Caenorhabditis elegans: one gene and its partners. The protein of the gene in region 2 purifies or fractionates together with the protein of the main gene of each other region. This does not show direct contact. Each region holds a gene or a part of one and is shown on either strand. Other genes may lie near its edges.

Region 1 (8,012 bases), about 11 Mb from region 2:
GGGCTTTTTTTAAAAGCTTTTTTGGGAATTTGCCGATTTTTTCTTTTCAATTCCGGAAATTTTTCAATTCCGGCAGTTTGCTGATTTGCCGGAAAATTTTCAATTTTTTAAACTCAAAATTTTCCTAGAAAACCCACAAATTCCGAGTAATCCGTCTCCACGTAGCTGAACATTCCGGGCATTTTGCGGAAATGTTTTCTATAAATCCAATCGTTCTTCGTTTTTTCGTGGAAAACATCCTGGAATTTGAGAATCGCTTCATTTGAATTACTGTATGATTCATGCTTATTTCCGCCGACTTCTGTGCCAACTCGACCCCAAGAACGGAAGACGTAGTAGTTTCTGAAAATTGAGATTTTGTCAATTTTTTTTTCAGATTGAATTTTTTTTTTCATCGAATTTTCAGTTAAAATTACCAGAAAATTCGATTTTTTCGTAAAAAGTTCATCAAAAACCCCAATTTTCGCAACAAAAAAAATTGGTGGCCTAGGATTTTTTTTCCTGAAAAAAGGCGGGAAAACCACGGAAATTCGCTTAAAGTGACCGGAAAATTTGAATTTTTGGTCAAAAATTCATAGAAAATGTATGTTTTTCTTGAGAAAAAGTTGGTGGCCTAGGAATTTTTCCGAATTCTTCGCTGAAAAAACTGGTGGCCTAGGAACCTCCAGGAAAAAAGTTAGGCCACCAATTTTTGTTTTCGAAAAAGATATCTTTCCTAGGCCACCAAAATACTGAAAGTTAGGCCACCAATTTTTTGGGCAAAAAAGTTTTAAAAATCTCAATTTTTCAGTATTTCGAAAAAAACATTTGATAACGTACTTTCGGGGCTACAGTAACCCAAAAAACCAGAAAATTGTCGTTGGAGAACTCAATTTCAAATAAAAAATTAACAATGAATTCGATTTTATTATTGGAAAATTCGGAAAATAAAATTTTTGCACATTTCAAAAAGCAGATAATTATGCAATTTTTCCTAGTTTTTGGATTACTGTAATATTTTTGGGGCTACAGTAATCCAAAAAATTTCGCATTTCTAATATGAATTTTGCTCGCGCCAAAAAGAAAACTACACGACCAATCAGCGATGTTCTCCGCCCACTTTTTGCACCAATCAGATCGAATATGGGCGGAGCAAATCGCTGATTGGTCGCGCAGTTCTCATTTTGGGGGGAATTCGATTTTTTTCGTTTTTTTTTCTTCTGCTAATCCTTAAAGGTGGCGTCTCATTTTTTTATTGCTTTACTATACTCAAAATTGTCTGAAAACACCGAATTTAATAATGAAACTTCTTGAAAACTTCTCAAAAAAAAAAACAGTTATGACGGCTCAAAAAATGGCCTAAAATTAGTTAAACTTTGAAATTTGACCGACTTGTCAAGCGGCTAGAGACTAATTTTTTTGAAATCACCGTCAAATTTCGAGTATACAATGTAATTTAAGAAAATCTTGCGTACTCAACTTCATTTAGTTATTTTAAAGTCGATGGACGGCAAGATTTGATTTAAAAAAATTTAAAAATCTCGCCGTTCATCTCCTTTAAAATACCTAAATCGAGTTGAAAACTCAAGATAATTACATTGTATACTCGAAATTTAACGGTGATTTCAAAAAAGTTAGTTTCCAGCCGCATGACAAGTCGGCCAAATTTCAAATTTCAACTAATTTTAGGCCATTTTTTGAGCCGTCATAACTTTTTTTTGAAAAGTTTTCAAGAAGTTTCATTATGAAATTCGATGTTTTCAGACAATTTTGATTCTTATAAAGCAATAAAAAAATTCGACTACACCAGCTTTAATTTAAAAAAAAAAGAATTTTGCTCGCGCCAAAATGAGAACTACACGACCAATCAGTGATGTGCTCCACCCAATATTGAACCAATCGCTGATTGGTTGAGCAGTTCTCATTTTGGGTGGGGAATTCAAATTTTCGCTTTTTTTTTCTTCTGCTATTCTTGAATTTCCGACTTTTTCGGAGGATTTTCTGCCAAAAACTCACTCTCTCTGATCATCCTTCAACAGTTGAATCTTATAATACGAATTCTTATTCTGTGTAAGATCAGTAAACGAGAGTGTCGCCTGATAGAGACTTCCATCAATCTCATTTTTGAATACATGACAACGATCGGCCAGTGCGAATTTCGCATCAACAACTGTTCCTTTTTTAATAATATGAGTATTGGTTGATGTGAGATCGCCGACTTTTATCGGAACATTGTTAGTCGAATCGAATGCTTCAGCCGCATAAATGAATTGTTCACCACGAGTACCACCTTTCGACTTTCTTTTATCAATTTTCACTACAGATTCTCCATCCTCTTCTCCTATATAAAGTCGTTCACTCATTTGATTGAATACAATATCTTGAAGCTTATGCTTTTCAGTTAATCGGTGAGAAACTTCGAATGGAGTTCGAATTGGATTCTTTGATTCATAAGTACATTTCGAGTATTCTGTAGCATATCCAGTGCAGACATATGTGCGGCATGATGAATTATAGACAATTTTTCCATTTGAACATGTTTGGCAAATGATTGGGCATCCGAATAGGGCATTATCCACTAGGCGTTCGATTACCTGCAAAAAGAATTGAAGTTTGAAAATGCGAAAATACGAAAAAAAATTTTTTTTTTGAAAAATCGGAAAAAAACCAAAAAATTTCTGTTTTTCTGTCGTTTTTCCGATATTTCGAAAAAAAATATCGATTTTTCCAAAAATATCTTGAAATTTTGGTCATTTTTCTTATTCTATACAAATTATTCATGTTTTTTATGTGGGGTGGGCGGCAATTGCAATTCGGCAAATTTTTTTGTCGACAAAATCGGAAAATTGGCTGAAATTTTCAATTCCGGCAAATTGGCGTCTTGCCGGTTCGCCGGAAGTTTTAAGGGATTTTTTTTAAAGACGGAAACGCTGAAAACTGTGCCTTTTTGAAATTTTTTTTTTGACAATTGCCATTTTCCGGCAATTCGCTAATTTGCCGGAAATTTTCAGTGCCGCCAATTTGCCGGTTTGTTGTAATTTTTCAATTACGGCAATTCGCCAATTTGCCGGTTTGTTGTAATTTTTCAATTACGGCAATTCGCCAATTTGCCGGTTTGCCGGAAATTTTCACTTATGGCAAATTTCCGGTTTTCTGGAAATTTTCATTCTCGGCAATTTGCCCGTTTGCCGGAATTTTTCATTCTCGGCAATTTGCCCGTTTGCCGGGAAGTTTGTATTATTATGGGGACCTTTTTCTGTTTAAAACAAGAAAAATGACCAAAACTTTAGGCTATTTTTTGGAAAAATGGATAATTTTTTTTCGAAATATCGGAAAAACGACGCCCTTGTGGAACAAAAACGAAAATTTTTGGTTTTTTTTTCTGATTTTTCAACAAACAAAAATCGATTTCCCCAAAAATAGCTTCAAATTTTGTCCATTTTCTTCTTTTTTATTAAAAATTAATTTGTTTTCAATATTTTTCCATCAAAACGAACAAAAATTTGATTAAATTTCCTCGATTTTTCAATTTTCCCTTATAAAAGCTAAAAAATCGAAAAACAAATGGGAAAATTCTGATTTTTTTCTGGAAAAAACCGAAAAAAAATTCGATTTTTTTCGTATAAAAATGCAGAAAATTGGCTATTTTCTCGACGTTTTTGTCCAGTTTTCACTGAAAAACCCGTACTTGTGCAGTCGGATCGTGTCCTTCTGGAATGTCTTGCTCGTTTTCTCGTAATATAGAGATTTTGTCGGTGTACGGCATTCTTTCGAAGATCTGGCGGTATTCCCAGAGAAGATCGGATTGTTTCTGTAAATTTTTCCAATAATTTTCAGCGTTTTAAAGGAGGACTAACGGTTCGGACGATTTTGAACGTATAGACCCAAAATGAGCTCAAATGAACGAATTTCGTAATGAAACTGCTCAAAAAATTTTTTTAAAAATTTTATGGCGGTTCAAAATTTTGATAAAATTACACTGATATTGGCTAAAATCACGAATTTTTCCCATTTTTCCGTGTCACATCTGTCCGTAGTTTGCTTTTTTGGAATTTTCGTTTTTTATTACGTATATTGGTAATTAATCTCATTTAATTTCGTCGATCAAATAACATTTAAAGCCGATAGGTAACCAAAAATTATCGAAATTGGTTACCTATCGGCTTCAAATGTACCTTAATCGACGAAATTAAATGAGATTAATTACCAATGTATGCAATAAAGGACGATAATTCCAAAAAAGCCAACTACGGACAGATGTGACACGGAAAAATGGGAAAAAATCGTGATTTTAGCCAAAATCAGTGTAATTTTCTCAAAATTTTGAACCGCCATAAAACATTTTTGAAATTTTTTTGAGCAGTTTCATTACGAAATTCGTTTATTTGAGCTCATTTTGAGTCTATACGTTCAAAATCGTCCGAACCGTTAGTCCTCCATTAAAACTGAAAAAAAAAAACCTTCATTCGCTTCTTCTGAACCTCCATCAATCTTGCTTCCTTCTTCATTCGTCTTTTCTTCGCAAAATCATTCTCATCTGGATTCCCTTCACCGTCGATTTCAATGATTTCAGAGCTTGCCGGACGTTTATTGGAGCTTTCCGGGGATCCTTCTGCAGATAAAACTGGAGTTTCAGCTTCTGGTGGTGTTGGAGAGGCAGAAGCCGGGGTAGCTGGCTCCGTGGATCGCCTTTTCGCAGCTAAAGCCTCCACATACTCCCCAACCGCCTTAATTTTAAAGTTCTCCTCATAATCCGCCCAGCCAGGAATATCCTCAACGGTGCCGGAAATTTTATCAAATTCCTGCAGAAAACACTTGAAATGGTTGGCTTTTCCCTTGTTATGAGCCTTGATTTCGCCGCGCTCGAAATTTTGGCCGCATTTTCCACATTTCCCACGATTTGACAACGATTTTTCGGTTTTTATTGTGGACAAAATGACGGTAGTGGTAGAGCACAGGGGTGTCAGAGTCGGTGGCGATGCGGTTTTAAAGTGTTGAATTTCCTGGCGAAGCTTTTCCTGATCTTCCCAGCGAAGCCAATCGACTCCTCGGATTGAGCTTATATTGATGTCATCTCGGCCGCGAATCATTTTTATCCAGAAGCAATTGTAGTGAAACCACGAATCCATGTTTCCATCGAAGAATGTTGACGGGCGATTCATTGACATTCTCAATTGATCCTGAAAAATTCAATTTTTAGGCTGATTTTAGGCTTTAGGCTTTTTAGGCTTTATAAAGCTCTCACCAACGCGATATTCTTTTTGCATGTTTTACAATTCGACCGGCCAGACTTTGCATATTCGATAGCGTAGGGCAGTGGCTCGTTGGAATGAATCATCCGGGACCCGTATGACAATCTGGAAGATTTTTAAAAATTTAATTTTTAATTTATAAAGCTTTAAAATAGATAAAAATGCTGAAAGATCGCAAAATTCTGATTGAAATCATGATTGAAATCAAAAAATTAAGACAATCTTTCAAAAGAAACATGTTTTTTCGCGGCGAGACCAATGGCAAGTCTGCATTTTGTCGTGACGGTGTATGCACAGAAACAATTTTTTTTATTTGTTTTTTTTTTGAAGCATTTTAAGCATTTAAAAACGAATTTTCCCTTCAAAAAGAACTTGTTTAGTTTTTTTTTTACAATTTAAAAACTCTAAAATTTCATTACAATCAGGAAAAGCAAGAGAAGAAGCGCTGAGGATTGATTTTTCATGCAGAAATCTATAGAAAAGTTTCTTTTTTCAAGTATGAATAACTCTTTCAGGGGCTACTAGCGCTGAGGAAAAAAATTGTCCTCTGGTTCAAACGCGCGCGCTTAGTCACAAGAGAGCGTATTTACATTAGTTGAAAGAGACTGAAAAAATCTCCAATTTTTTGCAGAGAAAATGCTCCCGGTGCTAGTAATCTTCTCGCAAAGTCATGTAGACTTCAGGATAGCAGAATTCGAAGCAATTTGCTCAATGTTCTCAATAAAAGTAGATTTATCGGAAAAGCTGAACACAACGGTATATAAAATTATTACGAGAACCCCACACAAAATTATCTTAAATTATCTTACAGGACCACATGTTCATCGTCAATTTCGAAAGCCATCTAGAAGTTCGGAAGCTGCTTTCACGATCGATTCTAGTCAAATATGCAATTGAATTATCGATCGAGGCAGAGTCATACGATATTATGTATGAGCAAATTGATAACAAGCCGGAAATAATAGAAAAATTCGATAAATTAGAGGAAAGCTTTGCGATTCGATTCTTTGCAATCGGGCGGAAAAAGAAACTTGACAGTATTGAACGGATTAAAGTGAGAAATCATTAATTTATTCTAATTTAAATTAATTATTTTTTCAATCAGGCTTTCTTAGACGTGGTCCCATTCAATAAAGCGCCAATTTGCCTGAAATCCCCCAAAAATGAGCTGTTTCTAGTGGAAGAATACGAAAATCCCAGTGATGAAGCTCCAAAGAAAGTTTATTTCGGAAAACTAATTGGTGAAGGACGAGCCGAGCTGAAAACCAAATATAATTTACGTGATAGATGTTATATTGGAAATACAACGATGGATCCTGAATTATCTTTTATTCAGGTTAATCTCAATAAAAGTTATGACGGCTCAAAAAATGACCTGAAGTTAGTGGAAATTTGAAATTTGACCGACTTGTCAAGCGGATGCAAACTAACTTTTTTGAAATTGCCGTCTAATTTTGAGTATACAATTTAATTATCTTGGGTTTTCAACTCGATTTAGGTCTTTTAAAGTCGATGGACGGCGAGATTTGGTTTAAAAAATTTAAAAATCTCGCCGTCCATCGACTTTAAAATACCTAAATAAGGTTGAAAACGCAAGATAATAACATTGTATACCCAAAATTAGACGGTAATTTCAAAAAACTTAGTTTCCAGCCGCTTGACAAGTCGGGCAAATTTCAAATTTTAACTCATTTTAAGTCTTTTTTTAAGCCGTTATAACTTTTTTTTGAGAAGTTTTCAAGAAGTTTCGTCATGAAATTCGGCGTTTTCAGACAATTTTAAGTCTAATAATAATATATAGAAAAAATTCGACTTTTTCGACTACACCACCTTTAAGAAAGTGTAAAAATGTTTTTTTCTGAATTTCAGACTATTTTTTGAATATTTCACTATTTGTTTTGCTCCATCTTCAAAATATCCCTTTTCCCTGAAAAAAACCAAAAATTTCAGTCAAATCTGGCAATGATAAGCCCTGGCGACATTGTTCTCGATCCATTCGTCGGCACCGGTGGCCTGATCCTTCCAGCTGCGGAGTTCGGAGCTTTCGTTATCGGAACTGAAATTAATTATCAAACTGCACGAGCTCAAGGACGATCTTCCCGGCAAGGTGTCGGGCAGCGAGGTGAATCCGAGAGCATTAAGGCGAATTTCGAGCAGTATAAGTCGGAGGTTGGGGTTTTTTTTTTTAATATTTGACCTTAAAATTCCGATTTCAGAGTCAATTTCTAGGAGTTTTGATCGCCGACTCCAGCAAACACGGAATTTGGAGCTGTAATGCGAAATTTGACGCAATTGTTGCAGATCGTAAGGCTTTTTTTCCAGTATAATTATAATTTTATTGCTTCAGCACCTTACGGAGTCCGGGAAAAGGCGAGGAAAACGGTTAAAAATAAAAAAGTAGATACTACGGAGGAATAGTAAGTTTTCAAATGTTTAAAAGTGGAGTACCGAAATTTGAGACTGCTTTTTTAGACCCAAAATGGTCCAAAATTACCGAATTTCGTAATGAGACGTTTTGAAAATTTCTCAAAAAAAAGTTATGGCGGTTCAAAGTTCGGCAAAATAAGGACCATTTTCAGCAAAAATCAAAATTTTTCCCAACTTCTCGGTGTTGCAGCGTCTGGAACTTAATTTTTATATATTCATCACTTTTTAATAAATATTGTGGCCTTTGATGAGGCGTTTATTCGTTGATTTAAGTAGATTTATGGTCAGAAGGGCACAAAATGTAACTTTTATTTGTGTCCCAAAGAACATAAATCTACTTAAATCAACGAATAA
Region 2 (7,702 bases):
ATTTTTGAAACTTTCAAGTACGAATTTTTTAATTTTTTTTGTTTTGGTGAAAATTGAGAATTTCGTACAAATTTTGATAATTTCGGGTCGAAATTGTTCTTTTTTTACAAATTGGAGAATTTTCAACGCGTTTTGGCAATTTTTTTGCAAAAATTGACATTTTTACAAAAATTTCGGCATTTTTTAGTCAAAATGGATCATTTTAAAAGATTTTTGGCATATTTTTTTGAACTGTGGCAATTTTAATAGAAAATTGATGAATTCTCACGAATTTCAGCAATTTTTCGGTCAAAATTGGTCATTTTTCATAAGTTTTGGCAATTTTGACAAATATTTGCCAATTTCAAGTCAAAATTACTATTTTCCACAATTTTCTATGCTAAAATTGAAATTTTCATCAAAATTTGGCGATTTTGGGCCAAAATTCGTAATTTTATCCAAATTTTAACATTCTTAGGTCAAAATTTTGCCGTTTTCACGAATTTTGCACTTTTTTTCACATTTTCATCCATACCAGCATATACAAAATGCTCATAAGTTCTCGTATACTGTGTGGGAATCCATCCACAACCTCTTCCATTCGAAAATTCTTCCAAAAGTTGATCTTTAACTTCTTCTCCATCTAATATCACATCATTTTCCCATTCAATTACTTGATATGGTAATAGAATATCTTCTGATGTTGAAGCTTCACAACTTTTATCAATTACTTCCACTTTATCCAAGAAAGGGGCGGAGTTTGGGGCGGGGCCTGATGACGTGGATGGTAGATCATCCGGGGTACGGTAATTGAGCGGTTTTCCACTTCGAATTGATACTTTTTGAGGAGATTTCTGAAATTGTTAAAAAATTAATTGAAAATTAAAGTTTCGAGAGGAAGTTTTTGAAATTTTGAGGAATTCAGCAATTTTTTCCGATTTTTCTACAAAAAAAAACTATAGAAATTAGTGGAAAACGATAAAATTTGATTATAAAATTGACAAAATGAGATGAAATTGTCTAAGATGACCGAAAATTGTCTGAAAACTCATGAAATGCTGTTTAAGCCGTGAAAATAACCGGAAAATTGTCGGAATTGAGCTGGAAATTATATTTTTCAGGAATTTTTAGTTAAAAATTATCAAAAATTGACTGAAAATCACGTTTTTCAACTAAAAATATATTGTTGAGTGAGGCTCACACTACAAACTACAACATTTTCTAGCCTCAACCAATTTTGGTTGAGGCTCACACTACAAACTACAACTTTTTTAGCCTCAACCAATTTAAGGTGAGGCTCACACTACAAACTACAACATTTTCTAGCCTCAACCAATTTTGGGTGAGGCTCACACTACAAACTACAACATTTTCTAGCCTCAACCAATTTAAAGTTCTCAATTTTGGTTGAGGCTCACACTACAAACTACAACTTTTTAGCCTCAACCAATTTAAAATTCTCAATTTTGGTTGAGGCTCATACTACAAACTACAACTTTTTAGCCTCAACCAATTTAAAATTCTCAATTTTGGTTGAGGCTCATACTACAAACTACGAAATTTTCTAGCTTCAACCAAATTTTTTTGAGCAAACTGTGTCAAATTTGCGCTTTTTTGGTAATTTTTTCAGATTTTTAGTGCGATTTTTAGGGTTTTTTTTATTGAAAACTTCAATTTTTGGCGAATTTCAGCCATTTTTCAGCCATTTTCAGTGTATTTTTTACCAGGAAACTTTAATTTTGATCATTTTTAGCCAATTTCAGCCATTTTTAAGTCAGTTTTTCAAAGGAAATTCCATTTTTTTGAGCAATTTTCAGCCGATTTTCTGCAAATTTTCATTATTTTTACCTTCAGTTTGAATCCATAATTAACAGCTTGACTAGTCATCGGCAAATTCATCATATCATACCAAATCTTGGCGGGACCCGTTCTCCACGGCTGAACTACCGTACCCTCTTCATTTTTCTTTGCCATTTCCTCTGCATCCGTCAGTATCGGTCTCCGCATTCGTTCTTCTTCATCGTCAGCCAACATGACACGTGGCACCTTCTCAATGATGTTAAGCTTCAGCTTTTTGGCTCCAACGATGACGTCATCAGCGAGGGGCTCTTCGGGCTCTTTTTTGCGTTGATGTTTGGAGAAGGTTCGGGAAGCCCACCAGATCTCGGCACGGGACGTATGTTTGATATTTTGAGCAAAAAGTCGAGAGAAACGAAGAGTTTTGTTTGGATTGAAGTCTTTGAAGAAGATTCTGAAAATAAAATTAAAGGATTTTGCGGAAAAATGGGGGTTTTCAGTGATTTGCGTGAATTTTTGGCGAATTTTCGGAATTTTTTTGGAAATTTTAACAGAGAATTATGGAATTCTAGAAGAAATTAGCAGTTTTTAGCAATTTTACATCAAAATTTCGAGTTTTTCGGCGAGAAAAACCAGTTTTCAGGGGAAAAATGACGGGTTTCAACCATTTTTTTTGGAATTTTTGCAGAAATTGGCCAATTTTCAGGCTTTTTTTGGCTTTTTTGGCTCGAAAAAAAGGTTTAACAATTTTAAAGCAAATTTTCGAGTTTTACATGAGATTTCTGATGGCTAGGAAAACCATGGGTTTGTGTGGAAAAATTGTGGGTTTTTTCGGGGAAAAGTGACACGGGTTTCAACGATTTTTGAGTGAATTTTTGAGTTTTTTAAAGGAATTTTTGCAGAAATTGCCAATTTTCGGGTTTTTTGACTTAAAAATTGTGTATTTGTGTGTTTTTATGAAACTTCATTGGAAAACTGACTTTTGGAGCAAAATTCGAATTTCAATTTTCAATTTTCGAATAAAACAAAACCCAACATTTCAGTGAAAATTCGATTTTTCCAACAAAAATCGTCACTTTTATTCGATTTTTGCGCGAAATTCGAATTTCGGCAAATGTTTGCCAATTTTTTGAAATAATGGCGCTTTTCATGCTTAAAAAAAGTGAAAATTTGTTTTTTCCAACGAAATTAGAATTTCTATCAATTTTTCGAGAAAAAAAAATGAAAATTTTACTGAATATTCGATTTATTCAACAAAAATTGAAAAAAAAATCGTCACTTTTACTCGATTTTTTTTCGAAAAATTTTGAAAAAAAAATCCCATTTTACGATTTTTTGTCGAAATTTTTGATTTTTCCAGCAAAAACTCTTTCCAAATCGACTTTTGGCGGGAAATTCAAAAAATTTCAGTTTTCAATTTCAAGGGCAAGCAAATTTTGCGGAATTTTAAAAGAAAATTATGGAATTTTGGAAGAAACAGCACGTTTTGAGCATTTTTGGAATACTTTATTCAAAAAATGTCATTTTCGAGCAATTTTCAGAGTTTTTAAAATAGATTTTCCGAAGAAAATTCGAATTTTCGGGTGATTTTATAAAAAAGTTTGTAAAAATGGAAAAAAAAATAAAGTTTTTAGAGAAAAATGAAATTTTTTTTAATGTTATTAAATTAAAATTTGTCAATTTTTATACCACACACATCTCATACTACACATTACAGGATTCGGCAGGAAATGAAATTTTTTGTCAAATTTCCCAATTTTCAGTGATTTTTGATAGAATTTTTGAGTTTTTCGTGGAAATTTCCGGTAAAAAACGTCAATTTCAACAGAAATTTGTGGTTTTCAGTACCTCGGATCAATTCCATCAAGATCCGGATGTAAAATAGATGAAAGTGGTGCATCATCTCGAAGTGATGGTCTTGCAAATGGTTCCATATCTTCTAATCGTACAGGATCACCAATATATTCTTCAAATTCTTCATTTTTTTCCACTTTTGGCTCCATTTTCACACTTTTAGAGCCGCCATTAGAAGCTGACGAACATGCTGAAAAAATGAAAAAAATGAAAAATTAGTGAAATTCCAAAGTTTTTTTTTTCGATTTTCGCTACCTTCATTCCGTGCTGCCGGATGATTTTTGTAGAAATCCGAGAGATTAGCGTAAGGATCCTCTAGATCTTCTTCATTTTTTGGCTTTTCCGTTCGATACCCATTTGTGTGATGATGTGTATTGTTCATTACTGGAAAAAATTACAATAAAAAATTTTGAAAAATATTTTAAAAACCTGGAGATTCACGAATTTTTCAAGAAATTTTCACGAAAAAATTGAATATTTTCTGAATTTTCTGCTCAAAGTTGCTCGATTTTGAGTTTTAGAGATTTTGAATTTTGAAAATTCATGAGTTCTGTCTATTGATATTCTTTAGAAAATTTTCAGAGAAAAAAAAGAAAACGGAAATTTTGAAAAATTCGAAAAAAAAACCATTAATTTAGTCTCAAAATTGAATTTTTATTTAATTTGAATTTGAAAATCGATAAAATTTCCATTTTTCCGAATAAACAATGAATCAAAATTGTGCAAATTAAGAAGAAAACACCAAAAAATGCACAGACTACAAACTACAACATTTTCTAGCCTCAACCAACTTTTGGTGAGACTAAAAACTTGTAGAAAATTGGAAAAAATTACGATAATAACTTTAAAAATAATTCTAAAAACCTGATGATTCACGAATTTTTAAATTTTTTCACGGAAAAAATGGATTTTCTGCTCAAAATTGCTCGATTTTGAGTGAAAAATGGATTTGGTTGAGGCTCACACTACAAAAACTACAACTTTTTCAGCCTCACCAAAGGTTGGGCGAGGCTAGAAAATGTTGTAGTTTTTGTAGTGTGAGCCTCAACCAACTCCGGAAAAACTAATTTTTTGGGGAAAGTTCTCAGTTTTTTGAATGAAACTCGAATTTTAATTATTATTTCTTCAAATTTGATTGATTTTCGCATAAAAATTAGACTTTTCAAGAAAAAAAATGAAATTTACAATCATTTCGCTGAAAAATTTAATTTTTCACCGGGAAAATTCATTTTTCGACTAAAAATGTTATGAAAATCTAATTTTTTCAAAGTTTTTCGGCAAAAAGTTGAGTTTTTTCTGACTTTTCGGCTTAAAATTGCTCGAAAAATGCATTTGGTTGAGGCCGACACTACAAACTACAACTTTTTAAGCCTCACCAAAAGTTGAGTGAGGCTAGAAAATTGTGTAGTTTGTAGTGTGAGCAACCAAGTGCGGAAAAAATCTTTTTTTTGTGGAAAATTCAGAATTTTTGGAATTGAAACTCGAATTTTAATTATGATTTTGTGGAATTTATTGGATTTTGGCATTAAAAAATGAAATTTTTGAAGAAAAATTCATGAAATTTGCAATTTTTAGCAGAATTTCTGACTGAAAATTCAAAATTTCGCTTGAAAATTCAATTTTTCGACTGAAAATTGAATTTAGCGACTAAAAATGTGATGAAAATAAGTTTTTTCCAAATTTTTACAGCAAAATTAGAGTTTTTGAATAAAAATTGTTTTTTTCTAAATTTTTCTTCGAATTTTCACTTTTTATTCGGTTTTTACCGATTTTTAAAACAAAATTTCTGTTAAACGTTGGTTTATGTGAAAAAACGTTTAAAAATTGAATTTTCAGCTAAAAAATAGAAAAACTATTAAAAAAAAAAATATTCAAGTGCAAAATTACACTTTTTCGAGGATTTCCCCCCGAAAAAACCGGAAAAGAATAGCGAAAATAGGAAAGTGAGAAATTCATTTCAAATTATGGGAAAAAAATGACAAAATTATGGAAAATGATTCAATTTTTTCAACAAAAAAAAAGATTCAATTAAATTGATTGATTATCTGAGAAAATTCGAGAGAAAAAACAATGAAAAATGGGCAAAAATACAAGCGAAAAATGGGAATTTTACCCGAAAATTGACACGAAAATGGGGGGGGGGGGGGGGGGGGGGGGGGGGGAAATGGGGATTTATTAGGGTTAAACATGGTAAAAATTGACTAAAAATTCAATTTTTGGGGGAAAAATTCAGATTTCTATGAATTTTTACCCAAAAAACTCGATTTTTTTCACAGAAAATTAGAATTTTCCACTGAAAATCAGCTCTACATCCTCTGTTGCTGCAGTTGTCCCATCAATTGTCCGAGTTCAGGGCTTGATTGGAGCCCCGAGACGTCTGTAGACATATCCTGAAGATATTCGAATTCTGCCAACGCCGAACGCTCGTTTTTGCCGAATCTGGAATAAAAATGGGTTACAATTGACTAAATTTGAATAAAAATTGGAATTTTCCGCCTAAAAATAGCTATTTTCCACCGAAAAACTAGGAAAAATCATGAAAAATATGCGAAAACCCATAGAAAATTCGTCCTTTTATACGCAATTTGAGCGGCGGACGGCTTCGCGGGTTCCGCCAATCACCATGTTTTGCGTGGTAAAAGGGGCGAGTGATTTTAGCGGAAAATTGTTGAAAATTGAATAAAAATAACAGTTTTATCCAATTTTTAAGCAATTTTCTTCTGAAAAAAGCAAAATTCTCCGTATTTTTTGGGTTTTTTCCACAGAAAATAGCAATATTCTTCGTTTTTAGAGGTTTTCACTAAAAAATGATGAAAATTGATTAAAAATAACAGTTTTATCCAATTTTTAAGCAATTTTCTTCTGAAAAAAGCAAAATTCTCCGTATTTTTTGGGTTTTTTCCACAGAAAATAGCAATATTCTTCGTTTTTAGAGGTTTTCACTAAAAAATGATGAAAATTGATTAAAAATAACAGTTTTATCCAATTTTTAAGCAATTTTCTTCTGAAAAAAGCAAAATTCTCCGTATTTTTTGGGTTTTTTCCACAGAAAATAGCAATATTCTTCGTTTTTAGAGGTTTTCACTAAAAAATGATGAAAATTGATTAAAAATAACAGTTTTATCCAATTTTTAAGCAATTTTCTTCTGAAAAAAGCAAAATTCTCCGTATTTTTTGGGTTTTTTCCACAGAAAATAGCAATATTCTTCGTTTTTAGAGGTTTTCACTAAAAAATGATGAAAATTGATTAAAAATAACAGTTTTATCCAATTTTTAAGCAATTTTCTTCTGAAAAAAGCAAAATTCTCCGTATTTTTTGGGTTTTTTCCACAGAAAATAGCAATATTCTTCGTTTTTAGAGGTTTTCACTAAAAAATGATGAAAATTGATTAAAAATAACAGTTTTATCCAATTTTTAAGCAATTTTCTTCTGGAAAAAGCAAAATTCTCGGTTTTTTTTTGGGTTTTTTCCACTGAAAATAGTAATTTTCTTCGTTTTTAGAGGTTTTTTTTTCACTAAAAAGTGGCGAAAATTGAAGATTCCCGCACCTTTTATAGTGTTTATCGTGAATTTTCGTTCTCGGCGGATTATATTTGACGAGACCGCCCTTTTTCTTCAATTGTCTCTCGATTAGGCTTAGTCGTTCCTCTTCCGAACTATCTGATGAGCCACCGTCATCGTCTGGATTGATGGAATTTCGCTGAAAAATTGAATAAAAATGATTGGAATTTCAAGTTTTTTCCGTTAAAATTGCTTGATTTTGAGTGGAAAATGCATTTGGTTGAGGCTCACACACTACAAACTACAAGGTTTCTAGCCTCATCAAAAGTTGGGTGAGGCTAGAAAATGTTGTCGTTTGTAGTATTTCAACATTATTATCATAAAAATTAACAATTTCCGTTTCTTTTCAGCTGAAAAATCACAATTTTGTCACTTTTCTATTCATTTTCAAATAAAATTACAAAGAAAAAAGGCTTTTTCTCTCAATTTTCGTGCAGAAACACAAAAGAAACACAAATGAAGTGAAAAAATGGCAAAATTGTGATTTTTCAGCTGAAAATATACGGAAAT
Region 3 (7,575 bases), on a different chromosome or scaffold from region 2:
AATATTTATAAACTTGATAAGCTGTGTCCGAAAAATGAGCACAGCAGACAATTCATGAAGCAGAATTGGCTAATTTTAAATTTTGAAAAACTTATAAATAGCTTTTTCAAGTTTCGAAAAAATTTACAATCAAATTTAAGCAGTTTTTAATAATTGTGCCATGTTTGGGCGGCAATGGAATTTTTGGCGATTGAAGAATTGCTGGATTGTCGAAAATTCTAATTGCCGTCCATATCTGCTCTAGACTCTTTTTGTATTCGGTTTTTTAAAATAATAATTAATTACTTACTTTATCCTTGTATTGTGGATTTTCATCAAGAATATCTCCTTCATAGTCATGAAGGGGAGTTGTTCTTCCAGATTGACTCATCCTTCGACCACCACCTCCGGGTATCTGATTTGCCATCGACTCGTAAAATTCTGAATATGACATATTCTCTGTTTTTCTCCTTCGACCACTTGGAATCGACACTTTAATCTTTTTCTCTGCATCTGTTGGAATTGTATCATTAGAACCATCAACACTTCCAGCAAAGAATGCGATTCCATCTAAAACACACGCAGATGTTGGAGTTGTAGGCCTTTTTCGAATTTTCTGATCATACGCGTGCCGAAGTTCTTCAGCTGTTTCAGCGAAGTTCAAACTTTTTGGAGGTGTCACAACTGGTTCTGCAGATGCTGCAAATACTTGTTCAACTTCTGCATCTTCTTCTTCGTCCCTTATCAAACTTTTGTGAAGTTCTTGTTCTTGTTCAGAGTGCCCGGGACCAGGTACTGCCATTTTATATTTCTGGGTCTCTCCAAGTTGAGGATCCACCTTTCCAGGCTTAACTTCAATGATTGTGTCATTTGTATCAGATGTTTTCATACTGACTCCTTCAATCATATCGATGTCAAGTGAAGCTGGTAATTCTGGTGGACCTTCATCTTCAATTGATTGAGTAAATGAACGCATTGCTCTCATTGAAGCTGCTCGTTCTGAAGATGACTGTTTCGATTCATCAGTTAATCGGAAAGCATTTCGGCCACCGTGTGGATCAAAATCACGGTCTCTCCAAGACATCTAATCTTAAAAATATAGGGACATTGTGATTAATGAATAAATAGACAAGAAATGAAAGAATTGGAGCCTGTCTAGGTTATTTAAAATTTGGGAAAAATCAGGAACGGTATGGGACCATGTCTTATGTTAAAAAAAAATTTTCAAGTTTTCTCGATAAGTTAGGGATTTCAAAAAATTGATAGAATTAAATTACTGAAGGCATTTTTGTATTCCCTTAAGTGATCTAATGGTACCTGTGGGTTTTTTGACAAAACATGCACAAAACATTCATTAACTAGAGAGTCATAAAACAAGATTCGTCAGACACTGTTCGGCTTAATAAGTGCAAAACAAATTTTAGCAACAAGATTGGAAGTATGGTATATTTGTATAGATATTGAAATAAAAGAAAGATTTATCTACTTTTTTAGTTGAGATAAGAGAAAAATTGGTTGTTTCTGTATATACATATATTATTATTTTTCTTGCACTATGCACCTCATTAAAAATTGATTAGGCATTGAATCTATTGGCTCAATTTTAGTTTTGTTTCAAAACAGACTATGAAAGGTTATTTTTTCACTTAGATTTTGGCAATATACTACGTCATTTAGTCAAAAAAGGTTTTGCAAAAGACAAGAAGAAACGGAAGAAACGAAAAATTTGTGTGTCAACAAGTGGAAACTTGATATTTTGGATATTTGGACCGGTAGTTTGGGTTTCAGCCGAAACACGAAATACTGAATCTAAGAATATATTGATTTTCAGATTATCCATTCCATTCGTTTCTTCCATCTTCAAAAAGGTGCCTAACCCATGAAATCTACCCATCAATCTGCCCTGTCTCTCCTTTTCCGCTATTACTCCTAGGCTTTCTATGCATATAAAATACGAAGAGTCATGCCTAAAAAAGAATGGAAGGGTTTGGAAAGAAAATATGGAAAATAAAATGAAAGTGGAGACGATTTTGAATGTCAAGACTCTTCTTCTACTTTTTCTTTTGAGTGCTTATGTATGAGATAAGTGATTTTTTAATATTTCACGAGTCTATTCTCTAATTGTAAGCCCCCAATTGCATGACTATTTATTAAAATGGTGCAAATAATATTGTTTTCTAAATCCATAAAAGTAGAATCCATTCTTCGAAAACTACACCGATTGGTAGTACTAGCACATTCAATTATAGATACGACGGGAGGAAAAGCGAGAGGCCTGAAAGGGAAGGAGAAATTGCGAATTAACTGAATTTTTCCTTTTTTTCTCAATCTGATTTTGACGGGAAAGAATATTCACAAATTGAACAAAATAAAGATCAGAATTTGCAGACTTGAAAAATCTTTTGAAAAAATTATCTATAACTTTTTCGTGTAATAGAGAAGTACGGTAAGCGTGAGACCCTTGGTTGACTTTAGCAGTTGTATCCCACTTGATCAAAAATATCAGTAGTAAATTTACAAAAGCTATAATGGAAAATCATCGAATACGCATTTTTCAGTAGGTAAGGATTCGTTAAAATGAAATACGATCTAATATATAATATCAATGTTCTGTTTCGAAATTTGAATTAGCTGTTGGCATTTTAAAAGAATCAAATGTATTGATATCTGTTGATGTAGCATGTTATTGGAACCTAGGTCGGTAATTTTTTGAAACAGTGACCTAAGTTACACTTTTCAAGAACAATGCTTTCTTAACTTCATTTCGCCATACAAATGTTCACTTTGCGTAAATAGTCAAACTCAAGCGGTATGTCCTCTAACAGAATGTAACTTTTTTGGTCTAAAAAGTGTGTCATATAATCAAAAGCTGATATGTTCTAATCTTCTACTTAATCTTTAGCCTGAAAGATATAAGCATGTGTAACGTAAGTCAATGTTGCAGTTTTTGAAGGAATATTCAAAAAACAGGTGGAATTTAGAAGCTCTTTTAGCATATGAAAAGTTATTGGTTCGAGTACTTTTGCACCAGGGGTGTGCGGCAAATCTCAAAATTTGCCGAGCTCGGCAAATTCGGCAAATCTACTTTTTTGAAATTTGCCGTGCTCGGCAAATTCGGCAAATTTGCCGAGCTCGGCAAACGGCAAATTCGGCAAATTCGGCAAATTTGCCGCACACCCCTGTTTTGCACCCTTACTAATAATTAATGATGGGAAAACTGAAAAACTCCATACTTCCATATTCTGAATGTGTCTATAAAAATTGCTAATAAGTCTATAACAAAAAAGAGAACGAGACATAAACACAGAAAGTTTGCAAAAATGAGCATACGAGTCTACTTCTTGTGCTCGGGGGGCTCCAAGCAAAAGCTCTCCCAGAAGACGTTTGTCTTCTCCTTTCGTCCTCGTTTTCTTTCCCCCTTCTTCTTCGTTTTCTCAAAGAGGAGGCGAATAGAGCGAGGAATAAGCGAAACGACGACTGCTGAGGACTATGTGCTCTGTCAGAATCGATAGAGAAACGGGAGAAAAAGAAGGGAAATGCCGCGGCGTCAGGGACGTGGAGAAGACGTATTACGAATTGCCGGGGTCCCTCTTTGTCGATTCTGTGCACTATGCACTCCTTCCGCTTTGGTGAACATTACGAACAATTCTTGAAACCGTTTTTTTTCTTTTTAGGAACAGTATAAAAATAGGAATCGAACAACAAATTGGGCAAAATGGGGGATCTATCGGAACGAAATAACAAGATCCTCAACATGTGGGGAAACAACTGAGGAAAGATCGAGAGGAATGAGATAAGTTGTAGAAGAAGAAAAATAATTTTAAAAAACAAGAAATGAATTGGCGAAAAATCAAAATTGGAAAACCGAGTCGTTGTGCGGATATGAATGGATATCACTTCTTATTTTTAGGTTGTCGCATCTCTTCTTCGGCCTTTTTCAACGACTCCCCACGATCCATGAACAATTTGGTACAACGGTCCACGTCCTCTACCTGAATAGCGATTTATTTAATACATGAACTACAACATTCTGCAACTTACTTCAATGACCTCTCTTCCACACGTTTGAGCACAAAGACGAGCTGGAGCAATCAATTGTAACGCATATCTCAATGATTTTTCAGCTCCAACTTTACTTAGAAGATCAAATGCTTTTTCTTCGAATTGAACATTTTCAGCTTCGGTACGATGAACGAGAATCTTCCGGATGTCTTCTTCGTTATACTTCATCGTTGGAATAATCATCAGCCGATCGAGCATTTCTGGAGGAATTCCATGTGGTGCCTTATCGCCGAGTCCACGAACTGTTGTGGTTCCACGGTTAGTTGCAAAAACCACGACGGGTGCCATTGGGGACTCGAGCGCGCGATAGAGATAGGTAAAACATTCTACGTCAAGCATATGAACCTCGTCGATGAAAAGAACACCAGGCATTAGTTCAGCCACTCCACTTTCAATGTATTCGTTGACTACTTTGTTGATTTCAGAACGAAGACGATCTAAAAGACAGAATAAAAATTGAAAGGTTCGAGTTTTAATGTTTATCAATCACTCACCAGTAACTTCAGTTTTCTTTGGAGTCATCAGCTGTGAAACAATGTTACTAACATCTCCTTGACGTCCTTGTGGACGGGCATTTGCGATATCCAGATCATGCAAAGACACGTTTTGAACAATATCTTTAGACTTTCTAACATCTCCTTTCGGCATTGGCACAAACTCGTCAGCCTCGAGGTCAAACTCAGATGCATATACATCACACCGTCCAACTCGTTTAACGATTCCTGAGTTCGCTTCAATATAGATGACATCACCAACTTCTACTCGTTGCTTCAAAATCGAGTCATAGATGCTTGGATCCAATTTCAGTTGCTTGCTTCCTTTTGCTGTTTTCAAAGAAAGGACAAGATGAGAGATGGTTTTTCCCATTCCGGAATTATCTGAAGCTTCGACGGGGCTCAACTCTGTAACTTCTCCCTCGTACACATCTTTGGTTTCCTTAACACGCAGACCAATAGCTCTTCTGAAACTTCTCATGAGCACTTCCGTTTTCTTTACTTCATTGGAAAAGACCTCGCTTGCAACAAGTGGCACAAATGGAACGCCGTCACCCAACTCCTGTGACATTGCAAGCGCGATTGCAGTTTTTCCAGTGGCGGGTGGTCCAGCAATCAATACAGCTCGTCCGGCCATACACTTCAATCGAATCATATCAACTACAATTGATGCAGCTGTTCTGGCGGGTGCTTGGCCAACGAATCCAGCAGCCTGTAGAAATAATATTTTATTTAGCATAGGCTTTATTTCATAAGTAGTTATTGAAATTGGACAATTGAAAAAGAAACCTCATAGTGAGCTTCTTGTGTTTCTGTGTCAATTCCGAGTCCCTTGACGTGACTGTGAGCCGCAATGCGTTTAATTTGCTTTGGAGTTGGTTTTACCTGAAAAATTCGATTTAAAATACTAGGTTTTTCAAAAATTAGCTCACTTCTTCGATTGGTGCAAGTCTTGAAGAAGAAGTACCAGATATTGCCTCATCGACTTCCATATCCATTATTTTACGAAAGCGTCAGCGTGAAAATAGAATGAAAAATAGAAATTTAGGGAAAGAAAATAAAATTCGAAAATGTGTGCAGCCATCTCATTTTACGCACAAATGCAGACAAACAGCAATGGAAGGAGACCCGAAGAACTCGGGGGATGTCCAACTGGGGGGATTACCAACTCGGGGGATTGGCCCCGCCCACAGAACCGTGGCTTGCATTACGCCCATTTCTGCAACTGCCGCACGGTTTTAAAACTGTATTTTTCTCAATAGAGCGAGAATTAACAAGAAAAAATAATTTTAAAACCGTGCGGCAGTTGCAGAAATGGGCGTATTGCAAGCCACGGTTCTGTGGGCGGGGCCAATCCCCCGAGTTGGTAATCCCCCCAGTTGGACATCCCCCGAGTTCTTCGGGTCTCAATGGAAGGGAAAGAGGAAAAAGAGATAATATTCTTATTTGAAGTAAATGTCAAATATAAGCCGAGAGTAACTTTTCTAAATAAAATGAATTTGCGAAAGTTGTATAATCACCAATAGAGATCCCAAGAAATTAAAAATGGCATTCCATTCGGGAACCTGTTAATGTAAAATAGCAATGTACCTTTAAAGTACGGTAGCACAACTTTGAGACAATTATCTGGAATTTGTCCCAAATCCTGCTCCCTCGACAATCCTTCGAAATCGAATATTCTGTCTCAGTTATTTTTGGAACAATGGCTGCGCTTTTTGAAGAGAATGATTCTTATTCGGTGAGTTTCTGGATTAACAAGAATAAAGTATAATTCAAGAATTTTAGGATTCCGAAAATGAAGAAGATTTTAGCGGCTTTTTGAGTGAAATCGAAGAAAATGAAAACGAGGATGAATTTGAAAACGACGATGAGTTTGAAGACGATGATGAGCTTGAAAATGTGGATGAACTTGAAGATGACGAATTATCCTCTGAAGAAGTGGACATCCCTTCCGAAAATGAAGTAATTGTCGAGCTTCACGATGGTCAAGGTGAGCAGTTTTATAGTTTTTTGCTCTTTTTCTGTAACAAAATATTTTCCAGCCGAAGTGGAGGAATCACTTCTTGATGCTCTTCTTGGAAAAGCATTGGCAGGAGATCAGATGAATTCTCGAATTGAAGGACTCTTCGAAGACTTGGACTCTTCAGTTGAACCTGATATCATCGATCGCAGCGAGTTAGAGGATGTGGACAGTGGTATTAGTGTTGGAGCTGTTAGTTCTTCCTCTGCAGAAACTCAAGCTTCTGATGCGAAATGCAAAAATAAGGATGCTTTCGACATGTCTTCACTTAAGAAGTATATGCAGTACATCACCGAAGAAGAGCATGCCGTATCAGTAGAAGATATTCCAGATTTTGCTTCCAAAAAGTAGGTCTTGAAGCTTTTCTGAATATTTTCTATTTCAACTCTTCATCCTTCCAGAAATGTGTATGGAACCAGCTTCAACGTTCGCAACGGAATCATGTCTCGTCCACCTCGTTTCGAATTTGCTCGTCACGATCAACGCTGGATCGATTCATGTGTATCCATGGCATACGAGAAAGACAAGACATTGAAAGAATTGATCACACTGGGAAAGTTGACAACAACTGTCAAGGCTGGAGCCAAAATTGAATTCAGAACCAAATTCACGGATGTTCATATTCGAAGTGCGGATGAAATTAACTTGATGGAGACACATGACATCCAACAGATAATCCGTGATGCATTGAATTCAAAGCGTCTCGCCGTGGTTCTCTTTGGTATTGGGAAAGACGGAAAAGTTACTGGATGCCACATGGGTCCTGGTCAACAAGATAATCTGCGTCTTGCTCTGGATACTGCTGTTCAAACCGAGTTTGCACCTCCAATTGAGAATATTCTCGACGTAGTTGACATGAACTTCGTTCCAGTTGAAGAAATGGATGAGACGTTTCTGATTGTCATTCGAGTGAAACAACTCCGTAATCAAGTCTATCGTTTAGAATCATCTGTTTGAAGTTGTTAATCTTCTGTTTTTGTTTTGTTCGTTGTTTCGCTTAATATCGCCTCCATTATATCT
Region 4 (7,236 bases), 8.7 Mb from region 2:
AAAGTAGGAAACCGAAAACGAAAAGAAAAATAACCAACAATTCATTTTCTGTGTTCAACCATCCCTTTCTTTCTCTCTTCTCCTCCCTTGTTTCTTCTTACACTCGAGTTCGCGGGTGTCTTATCTTCTTTGGCGCCTCCTCTCTCTCTCCAATAAAAAGAAAGTCCTGAGAAAATATACGTGACACACGGAAGCGAGAATATTCTCTCAAACCGACTTTTCAACAGTTGAAACGACGAGAAAAAGAATCGCAATTCAATCAACATTTTTAAATTTATTTAAACATTTTCATTATTTATTAATGGTTCATCATCCGGTGGGTCTACACATCCATTAACACCGTAATCTGAGACGTGGTGTCCAAAGTAGAACAGGTGATCGTTGATGTCAAAGTAGCGATGAGTGTTGCTGTAAGAGAAGATTTTCTTATCACGTGATTTCGATCACTGTCACTTGCCTGCACAAATTGTCCTCGTTCAATGGAGTCCCGGTGCAAACTTTGAACGTATCTTGACTTGTCATGTTTCCAGGAAACCAGACTTCGACTCCATGGTGATAGGATCCATGATTGTAGAATGGTATACACCATCTGGCATAGCTTTCCACGCAGAACGGAATATGTGCAACCTAGAAAAAAAACTTTTAATAGTCTTTTGAAAGAGGATATTTTGAACCGCCAGAAAAAAATTTCGAACTTGTTTGAGAAGTTTCATTACGAAATTCGCTCATTTGGGTGCATTTTGAGCCTAATAAAGCATTAAAAAAATCTTAAATATTAGTCTCCCTCACAATATCTCTTCCATGAATCAGTCTCCAGCTTCCTCCAGCAACTAATTTGTCATGTGTCATGGCATATTCGAGATTTCCAACTCTAGGCTGTCCGAATGTGATTGAAAAGGTTCGACTCGACGTTTCGGGAAAGTTTCTAACGAAAACAGTCGATGCAATACTTGCAATAGCTCCGCCCAATGAGTGTCCTGTGAACACAATTTTATGATCTGGAAGTGAGTCTTTCAGTCCTCGCAGTAGTTTTTCCATTGGTGACCACATTGTTTTTAGAGCAGAGTAGAAGTAATAATGAACTGATCCAGCATTGTGCAACTGTAAAATAAGTTTTCTTTGCTCTGTGAGTACTCAGACAAACACTTGAAACATGAGCCTACTTTGTGCTTTGGCCGACCAATGCTTTCGATAAGTTCAGTTACCAGCTGCTCTTTCGATTTTGTTCCACTGAAACTGACGAATATTGTGTCGTTGTCGGCAGCAATCACACTCCAGCACTGGAAAAAATTAAATCAGATGATTTTTGAATATTTAAAGATCTCATGATCTTTTACCTCGTCACGCATATAATCGCACTCCACCTTTTTGAAAAACAATAAAGTCGCATTGTTTTTCGAGATGCAAGGTTCCGGATCGATGGAATACGCAGCCGCTGCGAATTCCAGAGTTCTCTTGCTCAATTCATAGTCAAAATCTCGATTTACTTTCTTGCAATCAGCTAGAAAGAAGAAAAGACATGAAAAAAGAGCGAACCCGTTTCGCATATGGGTCGAAATTCCGATCGAAAATCACTGAGACCTGGAGAGGAAAATTGGGAGGATTGAGAGTTGTTTACGAGGTGAAAAGTTGTTAGATTGGATAAGTGTAAAGATATATTTAAGAGGGGAGAAATTCCACCAATTGGTTAGTATTTAGTTGTTGAGTTTTATATAAATGAAAAAGTCGATTCATTTGGTTTGAGATTCAAGAATTCAGAATTCAGGAAGAGGAAAGTAACAAATAAATATATTATAAAGTCATCCGATCAATATTAACAAAACTTCCAGACGAGGAGAAATAGTTTGAAGTCGATGAACATTGTTGCTGTTCTTGTGCAGCTGGATTGATAATCTCTAGACCTTGAATTGGTGTGAACGTGACAGATGACGCAGTTCCCGCCATTTTGCTTCGAATACTTGTCATTCCTCCAGCTGCTTTCTGTCTCTCCATCTGCCGCATCATCTTTTGCGACATTCTTGCTCTGGTCTTCTGATCCACTGCGGCTGTTCGGATTCTTCCACCAGTCACATTTCCGGTCTTCACCTGCCCAATATCGAATCCCATGTGCTCTTGCATTACATCTTCTCCCAATTCTCCAAAGTTCATGCGATTGGCACTTTTCCGAAGATCCGTCATTCCGAGGCGTTCCTTCATCTTTCTTGTTCGACGTCCTCCACGTTTTTTACTTGCCTTATCCAAAGGTTTTGGAAGCGCTTTGTTAGCTTTCACTGGTGGTGGCTCCAACATTTTTTCAAATTTACTTTCCACCAACGCCAGAAATTCCGCGCCTTTTTCTCCGTTGGATGACTCGTGTTGAGCATCAATTCTAGCAACTAAAGTCACTTTTGCAGCTAAAATTTTGGCCGCTTTGTTTTTCAAATCTGGAGGCATCTTTTGAACCAACTGATGGAAATAGATAAAACCATGATGTGGATTTGTGGACACTGTTGAGAATCCAATCAAATTCTTTTTCGTTTTTCCGAGAACCTGTACATTACATGATGGCATTGTGGCTAGTGGAGACAATCCTCCGGCTTGTGAAACTAGATGGGCAGTAGTAGTTGAGCCGAGCAAAGCAACCAGATTCGGGGCAATCAGAGCCATTCGCCATTCTACAAGTTGGTGCATTTCGAGACGATTGACATGAAGTTGAGCAGCCAAATTACAAGCATCCATGACGGTTTCCAGCTCATTTGGCTCAAGCTTGACTCCTTGTGTTGTTGAGACTGTTACACTGACCACCATGCATGTTGAGGCATCTAGAATTCCGCCGAGTTGTTCTTTCACTACCTTGCTGTTGATCTCGTTTCCCAGTAACTGTACAGTAGCCAAATAGGTCAACGCGTTAGGAACAAGCGTTTCTAGTTCAGGAAAGCGCTTTTCATATTTATCACGAACAAATTTGTGAATCACATTGATCTCGTTGTCGATATCTGCAGCGACCTGAAATTAATCATTGCCTTTTTTGTTTCTTTTTCATGATGTACTTACGTGGGATAATTTAACAATAAGCTTGTATTGTGGATCTGCTTCAAGAGGAGCTGTCACCTTCACTTCATCCTGAGGCCGTTTCAGTTCAACTTCCAATTGTTTCACTAGTGCTAAATATCTGTAAAAGTATTTTAAAATTATATATTAAAACAAAACTAAAACTAACTCATCAGATCTGGCAAGCTTTGCTACATCGTGCACTGATGCATATTTAGTTGTATCCATCGGTTCTTCTGTTGCTTCTTCAATATCATCATCGAGTTCTTCCTTTTTGACGCCCTGAAAATTACAATTTTATCAGATGCTGCAAAAACTCTAGATTTTAAATAATTTAAATTTTAAATTCGATTTACCTTAAGGTTTTCTCCGAGATCTGGAATGTCTTCCAAATCCTCATCGTCGTCATCGTCAAAATCAGCCATAAGTTCTTCAGCCAACGACATTTTTAGGTAGTTTAAAGATTAACTGAAATTTTAGATTAAAATAGTATTTCAATTCTCTTAGTTAAAAGAAAAAATGAACAAGGCAAAAAGAAAAAAAGAAAAGAAAAAGAAAAAAAACAATTTCGAAAAACATTAGGATTGCGAAGTACGGTATGCGACTCCGCAAACACAAAAGCACGCAATGCACCTCATCTGACGACAATTGAAGACCGGCCGCCGCCGGCTGTAGTCGGGCGCAAAAGTTCACGTTGTACGCCGTTCCCCGTCTTTCTCGTTTCTCTTCATTGCTGCAGTTCGCTGGAAATGATCTACTCTTCAATTCGATGACATTTTCTCGGCAATCGATTCATACAACGTTCACATGCCTGCTGGCAAACTATTGCATTTTTTCCAAGCTTTGTTTGAAACCAATCGATAAAACTCAAATGATCCTCATTTAATGTGAACGCCTGATCAATTTTTCTTCGATTTCTTGGCACTTTTAGTTTTTAAAGTTTGAGTTCAATTGTCAGTATAATCGATACAATAACCTAAGGGATGTATTTGAGAAATGGTCAAATTGATTTTCGTTTCCCTTTTGTTCGCCGATATCTCTTTTCTTGAATATCACCGCTTTTCTCGATTTAATAGTTTATTTAGCGTTTCTTCAGGTCGCGAAGAGAATGAAAGAATCAGCTGCGTCTGTAGCTGTGCGGCCTCAATTGAGAGAGGTGTTCGAGCGTTTTCCAGCGGACGCACACCGAACAATTGAAGATGAGATTCATGAAATGATGAAGTGTTACGCTTTTGATGATGCTATTTTTCTAGCCGAGCTTCATTACGAAACCGATAAAAGTGGTTTTCGTTTTTAATTCATATTTTAATTTCAATAACTTTTTTTCAGGCAACAACTCCGAATCTCTTCTTCTATACGCTGATTGTCTGTATAGAGCCAATAAGAAAGAGGAATGTTATGGTCTCCTTAGTTCAGTTAAATTGAGCGGAGCTAGACTCTTCTATCTACTTGCAAGGGTATCCTACGATTTAAATAAGTTAGTTTGTAATATATATGTATATTTATTCATTATTTTAATTTTTCTTTAGAATCGATGACTGTAGAGGAGCTCTTTTCGAACATGACGATGGAGTGATACGGAAAGATATCCTGGAAGAGCCACGGGTTGCATCACATGCTAATTTGCTTCATGCTCAAATGCTTTGCGATGAAAGTTACATGGATCTGGCTTTAGAATCTTGTCAAAAGTCTCTGGATGAGAATATTTTGTTGTGGTCAGCTATCATAACTTATTTACGGTTTGGAGGTCATGATCTCGCCCATACTTTTGAAAAACATCACCGAAAATCGTAAGATTCTGAGAATGTTTAAATTTAAATATTATGCCGACATTTTTATAGAAATGGTCTATACCTGGATAGTCCAGCTTCGAGTTTGAAATCCGAAACACCATCACCAAATGTTCCTGGGCCGTCGTCTTCTTCAGCTGCCAGCACTGCTGAACCTTCCAGACTGGAAAGTTCGGTCAGACGATCTACACGCGGTACGATTGCTTCGGCGAATCGCGAGACAAGAAGTGAGTGAAGCGGAAAAAACTATTGAAAAATTTTCCGTAAATTTATAGGAAGTATTTATAGGATTTTCTTTTTTGGAGAATAAAATTTTGGAATATCAGTTTAGAAAAAAATCCGACTCTAAAAATGCGATTTTTCAAAATCCACTATTAAAAATTTTTGAAAGATCATGCTGAATCAGAAATTAAAAGTTACAGATACCACATCAAACATCACTCCAAGACAATCCACTCCTGGATCCACACCTTCACGTATTAATCCAACTGCCCCGAGAAAAAGCTCCAGAATCAGTGAAATGACGACACGACGTACCGAATCTTCAGTCACTGGATCTCGATCATCGTTATTCACAGAACCCGAGAGACCACACACGAGGGCTACACATAGCTCTAGAAATCGCGCAAAGTGAGTGGTGACAGATTTTGAAATTTTATTTCAATAATTTCAGTGCTGCACTAAACAGCGATACGGAGAATTCGAATGCATCGAATACGAGAACTCGGAGTGGAATTGCATCAGTTACCAGAGGGTCATCGTCGTCCCAGAGGGTAACATTTATTTGGACACTGAAATTAATAATTTTCTAAATTTAGACCAATCCTGTGCGTACTTCAATCAGAATTGCTGACGCCGCCGCTGCTGCAAACAAGACTGCCAAAACTCTGAGTCAAAGAAGACGAAATGAAAAACAACCTTTGGTATCCAGAAACTCAAATCTTGCACGGAGTTTGTCGGGTTCTACCAATTCTGTAAGAATATAATGACCAGTTATTTTTCTTCAATTATTAGCAGCTTCAGGTGGCATCAACAGCTAGTGAGCGTCCATCAGAAGATGAGGTATCCCAGATCAATCCTCCTCTCCCTTCTGTGGCTTCTTCTTTGAACAATGATGAACCTATGGATATTGTCGATGGAGTTTACGATCCAGAATACAGTATGAAATCAGTTAATCAAAAATTAATGATTTTATTTGTTCTTCAGAGAAATTATTTGATGTTTATCAACACATTGCACTTATTGAAGAGTCAATCAGTACATACAATTGGAGATCGGCTGATGCTTTATTCGCAAAACTCGATAGAGATATCATTCTTAACACGTCTATGGTCCGTCTTCAGTTGGGAAGAGCTTGCTTCGAGCAATCCGAATACAGAGAGTGCCGGAACATTCTCGATGATTTGCATAAACGTAGAAAGTGGAAGGTTGACGGAACCGAGCTATTGTCCACCTCAATGTGGCACCTTCAAGATACTCATGCTCTTTCGGCTCTTTCTCAGATTTTGACAACTGAATCACGGGAACGGCCACAGAGTTGGTGTGCCGCTGGAAATTGCTTCTCATTACAAAGACAGCATACTCAGGCAATTGAATGTATGGAGAGGGCTATTCAACTTGACAAACGATTCGCCTACGCATACACTTTATTGGGGCATGAGCTTATCGTTCAGGATGAACTTGACAAAGCTGCGGGATCTTTCAGGTATTTATAGGATCATGAAAGTTTTTAATTAAAACATTAAATTTTCAGATCAGCACTTCTCCTTTCTCCTCGCGATTACCGTGCCTGGTATGGTCTCGGGTTGGTTCACCTAAAGAAAGAGCAAAATCTGACTGCACTGACCAATATCCAGAAGGCTGTTAATATTAATCCAACGAATCGTGCAATGCTCTGCACACTGTCCCAAATCGAGCAACAACGTGGACAAATCGATACTGCTCTCGTGCTGATTGACAGGGCTCTCACTCTGAATCCTCTTGATGTGGCTTGCCGTTTCAATAGATCACGTCTCTTGTTTGAGGCGAATCGAAATGAAGAATGTCTAGTGGAACTTGATAAATTGAAAGCTAGTTCGCCAGATGAAGCATTCATTTTCCATCTGCTTGGTACGTATTAAAATTAGTTATACTATTTTATATAAATTTGAATTTTTCAGCACGAGTTCACCGAAGAATGGGAAATACTCATTTGGCTCTTCTTAATTATAGCTGGGCGGCTGAGCTGGATCCACGTGGCGAGCAGAACATCACTGACTCGAATGTTATCAATCGCGAGGAATACGAGGACGACGAGTACGGATCGCCAGTATAATTTTCATAACTCGTTCTACTTCTCGATAGCTCATCATAGCCAATTTCGTGCTATAATCGTCTTTTTTGGCGCGGGTTTTTCACTCGTCTTTTCTTTCTTTTT

What was found.
Region 1: the proteins of taf-1 (region 2) and parp-1 fractionate together in Caenorhabditis elegans (co-fractionation; one large-scale study listed by BioGRID). This does not show direct contact.
Region 3: the proteins of taf-1 (region 2) and ruvb-1 fractionate together in Caenorhabditis elegans (co-fractionation; one large-scale study listed by BioGRID). This does not show direct contact.
Region 4: the proteins of taf-1 (region 2) and prp-31 fractionate together in Caenorhabditis elegans (co-fractionation; one large-scale study listed by BioGRID). This does not show direct contact.

Annotation. Positions count from the first base shown.
Region 1 is NC_003279.8:2,919,378-2,927,389, forward strand, and holds the start of parp-1 (Poly [ADP-ribose] polymerase 1), read right to left. Parts: upstream 5,337-8,012; 5' UTR 5,318-5,336; coding exon 5,225-5,317; intron 5,160-5,224; coding exon 4,440-5,159; intron 3,791-4,439; coding exon 3,668-3,790; intron 2,574-3,667; coding exon 1,996-2,573; intron 1,914-1,995; exon of another isoform or gene 1,809-1,913; intron 343-1,808; coding exon 138-342; intron 1-137. Other genes in the region: Y71F9AL.1 (tRNA (guanine(10)-N(2))-methyltransferase TRMT11), read left to right, coding at 5,868-5,987, 6,043-6,285, 6,337-6,567, 7,182-7,400, 7,448-7,535, 7,579-7,648. UniProt on the Caenorhabditis elegans protein: Poly[ADP-ribose] polymerase modifies various nuclear proteins by poly(ADP-ribosyl)ation, a post-translational modification synthesized after DNA damage that appears as an obligatory step in a detection/signaling pathway leading to the reparation of DNA strand breaks and programmed cell death.
Region 2 is NC_003279.8:13,857,786-13,865,487, reverse strand, and holds the start of taf-1 (Transcription initiation factor TFIID subunit 1), read right to left. Parts: upstream 4,015-7,702; 5' UTR 4,013-4,014; coding exon 3,886-4,012; intron 3,821-3,885; coding exon 3,625-3,820; intron 2,231-3,624; coding exon 1,828-2,230; intron 834-1,827; coding exon 515-833; intron 1-514. Other genes in the region: W04A8.6 (ANK_REP_REGION domain-containing protein), read right to left, coding at 5,937-6,069, 7,180-7,331. UniProt on the Caenorhabditis elegans protein: The TFIID basal transcription factor complex plays a major role in the initiation of RNA polymerase II (Pol II)-dependent transcription.
Region 3 is NC_003283.11:9,975,164-9,982,738, forward strand, and holds ruvb-1 (RuvB-like 1), read right to left. Parts: upstream 5,640-7,575; 5' UTR 5,534-5,639; coding exon 5,468-5,533; intron 5,421-5,467; coding exon 5,325-5,420; intron 5,248-5,324; coding exon 4,536-5,247; intron 4,479-4,535; coding exon 4,021-4,478; intron 3,972-4,020; coding exon 3,873-3,971; 3' UTR 3,628-3,872; downstream 1-3,627. Other genes in the region: unc-41 (Putative stoned B-like protein), read right to left, coding at 290-1,063; tofu-1 (Schlafen-like protein 1), read left to right, coding at 6,238-6,273, 6,321-6,525, 6,578-6,902, 6,957-7,512. UniProt on the Caenorhabditis elegans protein: Possesses single-stranded DNA-stimulated ATPase and ATP dependent DNA helicase (3' to 5') activity suggesting a role in nuclear processes such as recombination and transcription.
Region 4 is NC_003279.8:5,124,090-5,131,325, reverse strand, and holds prp-31 (U4/U6 small nuclear ribonucleoprotein Prp31), read right to left. Parts: upstream 3,499-7,236; 5' UTR 3,477-3,498; coding exon 3,387-3,476; intron 3,313-3,386; coding exon 3,200-3,312; intron 3,152-3,199; coding exon 3,034-3,151; intron 2,986-3,033; coding exon 1,792-2,985; 3' UTR 1,715-1,791; downstream 1-1,714. Other genes in the region: Y110A7A.7 (Fungal lipase-type domain-containing protein), read right to left, coding at 279-408, 458-627, 790-1,101, 1,164-1,280, 1,338-1,547; mat-1 (Cell division cycle protein 27 homolog), read left to right, coding at 4,139-4,310, 4,360-4,507, 4,560-4,820, 4,872-5,047, 5,243-5,450, 5,494-5,593, 5,639-5,794, 5,838-5,979 and 3 more.